Nothobranchius furzeri: one gene and its partner. The protein of the gene in region 1 interacts with the protein of each later gene in a biochemical or structural test. Links are inferred from orthologs where the notes say so. Each region holds a gene or a part of one and is shown in the gene's direction. Other genes may lie near its edges.

What was found. The genes of interacting proteins can lie anywhere in the genome.
Region 2: of the proteins of dyrk1ab (region 1) and lin52, one has a biochemical effect on the other in vitro, tested with the Homo sapiens proteins (3 studies listed by BioGRID). The link is inferred for Nothobranchius furzeri from reciprocal best matches to the Homo sapiens genes DYRK1A and LIN52.

What each region holds. Positions count from the first base shown.
Region 1 is NC_091753.1:50,166,899-50,171,197, forward strand, and holds the start of dyrk1ab (dual-specificity tyrosine-(Y)-phosphorylation regulated kinase 1A, b), read left to right. Parts: upstream 1-1,373; 5' UTR 1,374-1,511; intron 1,512-1,954; exon of another isoform or gene 1,955-2,114; intron 2,115-3,046; 5' UTR 3,047-3,103; coding exon 3,104-3,113; intron 3,114-4,299. UniProt on the Homo sapiens protein: Dual-specificity kinase which possesses both serine/threonine and tyrosine kinase activities. Exhibits a substrate preference for proline at position P+1 and arginine at position P-3.
Region 2 is NC_091758.1:32,967,675-32,971,759, forward strand, and holds the start of lin52 (protein lin-52 homolog), read left to right. Parts: upstream 1-1,278; 5' UTR 1,279-1,361; coding exon 1,362-1,380; intron 1,381-2,622; coding exon 2,623-2,697; intron 2,698-2,772; coding exon 2,773-2,810; intron 2,811-2,904; coding exon 2,905-2,971; intron 2,972-3,153; coding exon 3,154-3,237; intron 3,238-4,085.

The sequences.
Region 1 (4,299 bases):
TAATTGTGCCCATGCTCCATTCTACACCTCTGGTATAATGTACTCATGGGAAAACAAACAAAAATACAGTTATAGATAGCTATTTGGTTTCACATAAACTTGGTTTATATCAACATTTTACCCTTTAGCTAAAAAAACATTTATGGATGGTTAGAAATTAGAATATAATAACATAACATTTCCATTTGTTAGAAGTCATCTGAAACTTGTAGCTTAAATTAGTTTTAATTATTAAATTTTTTGTACAGAACAAGGACTGCAGATTTGATGATCCTGTTCAAATTTAATTTACGTGCTAATAATTTCAATATTGTCAATAACAGTCATTTGTGTTGGTACTTAATAGGCTAATTGTTTATTAAAAATAGAATTTTCAGCATTTATTTGTTTTGCTGAGATAATATTACTTAAATATAACTATTATTATTATTATTATTATTATTATTATTATTTTCATCATCATCATCATCATTATTGGATTTAAAATATGCTGAGGAGGAACCACCACATAGTGAAATATTATCGGAATAAAATAAGCATCGTCATCCAAAAAAAATAGCAACAGGCCGAATGAGGTTAAAAACACGGAGAGGGGCACCGCTGGACTCCTGTGTGCGCTGTAACTCTGGCCAGCTCCGAATTTATTCGTCATTGGCACATCCGGGTATTCTTTCTCTTTTTTTTTCTTTTTTGATTGACAGTTTCCATAGCAACAAGCTAGAGCATCGCCATTTTGTCAGGAGGGTTTTTTTCCCCCCCAGCTCAGTCTTTTCAAATGTTCTCCCTTCCCGCCGGAATAATGCTGTCAGTGGATATATTTTTGACGTTTTTGGATATCGAGATGCGTCTAGTGGATCGGATTATTAAGAAGACAAAGAGCCCGACGTTTTAACCTAGTTGAAATAATTAGGCGGTGCCGCACTAACTCAGTTGTCCGTGTCTCTGGTCCACCGGGCCGGTTCACTGCGCAGGTTTGGACCGCGCGCCATTTTGTGAAAATTGACACAAAATTCCAAACCAAAATTTATCAGAGGACACGGCTTCTGCTTAGTGTTTAAAATGCACTAGATGTAATCGCGTTGTCGCCGCTCATCGAGGTGACCGACATTTCAGTCGCAAAGACGAGCGTTAAATCAGAATTTGGCATAACGTTTATTTAGCGGTGGCTAGAATCGTTAGCTTCAGGCTAAGTCAAAGGAGCTAGCTGATGTTAGCTGCCTTCATTTTGTGAACCAGCTAAGGTTAGCCAGTAAGTTACCCGTGCTAGTTAGCATGTTGTTGGTCATCAGCTGATAGTAACGTTTGATGAAATTACTTCGATCACGGATGTTGCTCAGCAAGGCTTGGACAATGAAGCGCGTACTAGATGTGACTGGTGAGTTATTTTAGCCGGCCAGAGGACGGGGGATTGGATTTACTCGCTAACCGTGCAGGGAGGTGGAGAATCAAGCTGGATAAGTTTCCTCATCATACAGGTTATTGGACTTTAAATGAAGATCGTGCCATTAGAGGTAAGCAGATCCAAACTGTTCTATTTCACATTTGCGTTAATTTGGCTTTTCTCGTACGTATATATGTCCCATGTAGCGTGAATGGTTAACAATGATGGAGGCGGTAGTGAAGTTGTGGCGGCTAAGAGATTTTGTGGAGCCAGGGTTAACGTTTGCTTACAGTCAGTAGGTCAAGAGACGGGTTTTAATGCTGAACGTGAAGGAATTTCCAGCTGACTGTGAGTTTGGACGGAGAGTCGTGATGGCACGGTGTTAATGTTCCTGCTAACCGTGCTATATTGGGTCCTGTCATTGTATGATTGAAGCCGTGTTAGCTTACCTCCCCGATTTGATCTACTGCATGGGCCTCATAGCCCGCTGGCTGCACACAGCGTCACTAGCTAACGTCGGGCTGGTGAGAGATATGCTCATCTGCCCCGCAGTTTTCAGGGTAACGACGACAGCGTTATAGCTAGTTAGTCCGCTAGCGGTAACGTGACGGGGAATATCATCTATTTGAGGATTTGGACTGCCTCACGAACAATATGTAAGCAAGAGAAGACGAAAATTAACACTGAATATGCTTTCTAAATTCCAACCATGACGAGATCTACCTTATCATCTGTAAGTACAGACCGACTCGGTATATATTTATTCCCCGCGAACGTTTAGCATTTAATTGTTTTGGATCGGTTATGTTTGATCCATCTTTGGAATGAATCTAATCAGTTGGGCGTGAGAGGATGACACACGGGGCTTGTTACAGAGATCTTTAAGCATCCTTTTGTACGATTCGGCTTCTAATATCAAGCTAGCTGTCGATATATTTACACATAAATAGGCCCACAGATGCCATAATGACCAGAGCCAAGAAAGGAACTGTTCATTTCTTAGTACTGAAGAATAAGATAAAGCAGACGTTTAGGAAAAGACTAAAGAGCTACAAGTGTGCTAAAAATTGGCATTTTGTACCACTATTATTTTACTTGTATTACAATTAGTTTAAACGTTTTAAATAAAATCAAGTCTCAAGACTGTCTAATAGAAGTAAAGCACTCTCAAACTAGTTACTTCCCTCCAGTTCTTTGTAAAATTACATAGTCCTGTACACTAAATATAGTTGTGTTCAGACGAACAGTTGTCTATTTTATTGGTGTATATTTAAAGCTAAAATTCTCGTTTAAATAACATTTTTACCCTAGAGTATACTAAAAGAAGCTAAAGCCTCAAGGCCCACAACAATGTGAATTCTGATTTGTTTAATTTATTTTTTTAACCGTTTTACAGCTTTGCGATTGAATTTTAATTCATTAAAATCTCAAGCAGCTCATAGTTAAAACCTGAAATTTAAAACTTTTAACACACATTTTTAAAATATGCTTTAAGTTGTTTTATTTCCACAGCATTCACATCCAGCTCACTTTTACAAGTTTTTGGGGGTCCCTTATCATCTTTGGTGGCCATCTGTCACTGATTCTTAACTCAGGTTTAATCTCAGTGATGTTAAATCCCACCCAAAATGCAAAATTATAATAAAGTGTTTTTATTCTTTGTAGTGGGTTGTGGTTTGCTGCTGGACTCTCCTCCCAGGATGATATGAAATTAAACAGAAGATGCATCCAGGTTAGCAGCTGTACATTAGGCTTTAACCCTTTGCTGGGGAAAACTAGTTCACTTATGATCTTTTCTAACTTATGTTGCTGTTTTGAATTTGGCCTCAAGACTTAACATCTATGAGTCATCATGAGCAGGACCAAGTCACACAATCTGAACTGCCCGGGACTGTAGTTATTATTTTTAAATTGTTGATGGTAGTTTTTATTTAGTTATTTAGGTTATAATGGTAACATTTATTTTACACAGCAGGATAAACAGTAACAAAGACATGATGGATAATAAGGATATATTTAGAGCTCATAAGATGAACAAATATTTAATATAATCTTAAGTGTAATTCACTTTTTAATTTGTTTAAATTACATTCTGAAAAGGTATAAATGTGTATTTTAACATATTTATAGTGGCTGAAAAAAGAGATGCGTCTTGGCTCTCAAATACCTTGTTGTCTGTGCTCTATCACTTTACAGTTCCTCTTGTTTCTGTCAGTGGATGTGTATTTTCTGCTTTTCCAAAGCTGGGTCAGCTTTCTAACGCTCTCAGATGAAGTGCAGGTTTTAGGCTGTGCAGCTATTTTACTGTCAAGCTCTTGTGTTGAAAGCAACGTCTAAGTGTGCCAAAGTTCAGTTTTATTTCTTGTTTATTTCTTGTTTTCTCATTGGAAAATGGGAGCAGCTCTGCCCTGGCAACAAAAGTAGGCTATTTGCATACTGCGTTGTGATTGGTCTGTGCATTGATGGGCTTGCCAAATCACGCTGTATCTCTGTGGTGATAGGCTATGCTAATTAGGTGCTGTTGCTGGGATTCTGAATAGTGGTTACTGTGTAGCGCTGGTGAATTGTGTTGTCTGGTGAGAGATGCTGATAGCTGAACATGCTATTTAATAATTTTTTGATTCCTTCTGGCTTAAAATGAAGGATGATTCACTGTACAGTGTGGAGATGCTGTATTCTCGCCCCTTCTCACTGTTAAACCTACCGTTTTCTCCCTTTTCTTCACAAAGGTTGATACATTGCTGCTGTTTTATTTTTGCTGTCCTTTTCATGCAATTTAGATTTGGTTAACATGTTCATTAAAATGCAATATCTAAACATTAATTCAGATACTGTGCCTTTTTTTCCTAACATGGATTTATTAAAGACCTGTCTTATTTTAACATGCATGTTATAAATAAATATATTTTATTCATAAT
Region 2 (4,085 bases), on another chromosome or scaffold:
CTATGCTGTTAACACTAATTTAAAACCTGCATTACTTTTAAGTGATATAATTTATTTAGAAAGTTTATAAGTTAAGAAACAAGTAACCAAATTGAATATGGGTTCTTTTTGTTCTTTGTCTAAATAGATTTTTACAAGACGGACTTAGTAGAAACTCTTGCTCTATTTTTTAAAACACTTGTTTCGTTGAAAGAATGGAGAATGTGCGCCCTCTGCTGGCAAATAACAGAACAACACAGGTTTCCAACTGCATGCAGACAAGAAGGGAGTATTTGCTGCCCTCTAGTGTCTGAAATTTGATACTGCACATCCGATTTTTAAATCCATTTAGAAGGGAATATTTAGCCTCTTTAGATTTTTCAAAAATTCAATCACATATAGTTGCTAGCTCCGCTGGCAATAAATAGAACGACACTCTAATTTCCAACTGAAATCTGGTACTGCACGTTCCTTTTAGACATTCTGAAGAGAATATTTAGCCTCTTATTTTAATAAAGCTTAAAAAAAATCCATCTCTGTTTTAACTGCTAATAGCCCCAGCTATAGCTAATAGCTAAAATTTTGTTGTACACAGAAAAATAAAATAGATTTGCTGATTTTTAATTTTTAAGTAGTTTGTACAAGTGAACTAGGCCTGGGACGATAACAGATTTTGCAGGACAATATATTGTCCAACAAATTATTGCCAATAAACAATATTATTGTTGACATTATCGAGACCAAAATAATCACTTATATAATTTTAATATATCATAATAATGCAAGTACACCCTTTAAAATGCAGCAAATAAAACTCTTGTTAACATTAGAATGTTCAGAATCGAACTTCTAAATAAATGAATAAAACAAACAAACAAAAAAAAGAAATAAATAAAACGGACTTTCACTCACTGTTAGAAAATATTGCACCAAAAACCATAAAATAGATCCTGTATTGGGTCATCAAAGAAAAAGGGTTGGGAACCACTGACCCAGACTCTTCGAACTTGGACCAAATTGTTGTACACAGATAGCAAAATCTGTTCAACATAGATTGTGATATGTAAAACCACAGATCTATTTGTAAAAACACCGATTTTCTTTTCTTTCACAAATGTTGGAATGAAATTGTGTAAAATTGTACAAAATGTTGAAATGTATCTTGCCTGGCCATGGAACTCGCTGTGTGCTTAGCACCCCTAAACCTCTGATGCTAGGATCGCCCCTGACACTTATTATAAAATTATTAGTTTATTCATTTTACCCCCAGGAACACGGCTTTGGTGTGTAAGAGTGACCTCTTGTGGTGTGTTTGTGAATTTACAAGGCTTTGTCAACATTGACTCCTATTCGTTGTCACGGGTCACGTGATTATTGTGAAGATGGCGTCTCCGAATGGAGGTAAATTTTAATTCCTTACACAGATACGCTGTTAAAAAATGTAAAATTTAACACTTTAAATCACACAAATTATTCCACGAATGTATTGATGATGTAGCTGAACACCCAGAATTCAGAACTACACATATCAGCGTTGTAGTCCGACTTCTCGGAGGTGGTTTTGTTTGACTGAAGGCTCCACTAGCCCCGGTGTTGTTAGTCCACCAACGTTCAAGGAAGAACAGTAGACAGCTGGCTGCAGACCTTCCGTAACTCCTGATATTTTAAATACTACTAGCTTTTGAGTTGCCTCTTTGTTAAATACTGGCCTAATAATTAATATTTACGACATTTTTCCAACATTTTGAGGCATTATTTGTTTCACATCAACATATTTTGAAAGGTTTTTGAAAGGTTATATATATATATATATATATATATATATATATATATATATATATATATATATATATATATATATATATATATATATATATGTACACACACACACACTATGTAGGGTCATGTATTAGGAAGCATAATGCTAACACAAATTGTTACACTAAATATTGGTTTTAAGAATAGTTTTTGAATAATCAGCACACAGTTGTTGTCACAGCCTAGCAGAAATGGTTGTATAGGGACTTGAATCAAGCAACATTTAAAAATGAAAGGTATGATAAATAAACTAAACCTCCCAAATATTAGTAATTTTTTTAAGAACAGCTGATTAATCAGTATTTATCTTGTACACATATTTTGTTTTAATACAGCCAACATATTGTATTAACTGTTGTGGTTACATTTTGACATTTGTTTGGCTGTAGTCATATGGGCCATTCCCATCTGTACCGGGTCGGTCCGGGCCGGGTAGCGTTGGTTGTTTACATATCTGGGTGGCCTGGTATTTTTCCGGACCAACCAAGGCTCATTCTCAGCCCTCTTCTCGAGGGGGTCTGCTTCAGGCCGACCAGGGCCAACACACCCACTGCTGACAGCAAATTCACACCTTCCATTAGAGCAAGCCTCTGATTGGTGGGTAGAATCAGCCCACATGGGCGTAAGACAAGGATGTGTGGAATCAACCGGGCCAGGATGGGGCCGACTGGGGCTACCCGGCCCGGGCCGACCCGGTACAGATGGGAATGGTCCATAAGTCACACATTTTACTTGTATTTACATCAAGAAGATCACATTTTGTTCTAAAGCTCTGAAATTTCTGCCTGAATTCTGAACATAATTTTACTTCCTTTTCTTTGCCAGGTGATGATTTTGAAAGCTCTTTGCTTAGTTTAGAAAAGCTGGACAGAGCGTCACCAGACCTGTGGCCTGAGCAGTGTAAGTTTTCATCTCCTCTGTGCTTCTTTATGGTCCCACAGTTTAACCTTATCTGTCCTGTCATTTCTCACACAGTACCCGGAGTTGCAGAATTTGCTGCATCCTATAAAAACGTAAGATACGTTTTTTGTCATTAACTGAGATTAATACATTAAATAATCATTTAGATTTGGCATTGCCGTATAATATCATTTATTTTTATTACAGCCCATTACAAGCTCACCCCCTAAGTGGATGGCTGAATTGGAAAGCGAGGACATCGAGATGTTAAAAGGTTGGTACAATTGTTTTTTTTTTTAATATATGTTTAATTAGAAAGATTTTCTCTGTGCCTGCAGCGTTTCATGTTAAAACTGTTGTACTGGTTAGTGTTTCCATAAATATATAATCTTGTCAAGGAGAAACTGAGTTGATCAAACTGGAGCTTAAAATCTTTGCCTTGTAATCACTCTGCAGAGCTGGGTAGTCTGACAACAGCTAACCTGATGGAGAAGGTCAAAGGACTTCAGAACCTGGCTTACCAGCTGGGTTTAGAGGAGTGTAAGTACAAAACACACAAACAACATGAAAACATAGGCTGTGATGTGTTCGTGTAGTTTTTAGTTTTCCCAATCAGCTGTTTACGTCTATCACCACCAGGTGGTGCTAGTAGCCTTTCCACTACTACGTTTAGTTGCAGAATCAGATTTACTTTTTGTTTGTTCAAAATAGGCTAAAATCACATGGATGTTATTTATTATTCAAAATCAGAGTAGATGTTATTGAAAGTGCAATTGTAATTTAGAGTCTGCATAAAACAGGTTGGCCGTAAGATCTTTAAAACAAGGATTTAGGTCAGTCTTGTTAAATGTAAACAAGTAAGAAATGAGTGCATGCCACCAAGAGCTCACACAAGCAAATGCTCAAGAATATGATGGATGCACAAGCTCTTGTTTTAATCCATTCCCTCCCGCCTCCATTGTAATAATCCTTCTGGAGTGTGGATTAGAGAGATGTAGCTAAGTGCTGATATTATCCTAAAAGAAGATAAAAATGTTTTTAATGTTTCTAGCGTAAGAGAATCGTTGTACACCTCCTCTTCAGCGACATGTGTAAATAAACTGAAATGGTAGCAAATTGTGTAAAATAATGTGAGTTTAAACAGCAGGGTAGATGGCAGCCATGATGTCGGTTCTTTAATGATAATAAATAGTTTGTAGAAGGTTTAATAAAACTTTAATGCCACTTTAACAAGAAAATGTTCATCTATAATAAAAAAATCACCCCAGAGTGATCTACATTTGGTGGTAAAGCAAATCAATATTTTAATGTTGCAGAAATCAGATTGATTCATTTTGTGAAATAATTAATTTTAGAAATGATTTGTTTGCCTTGCCTCCAGCAGAGGA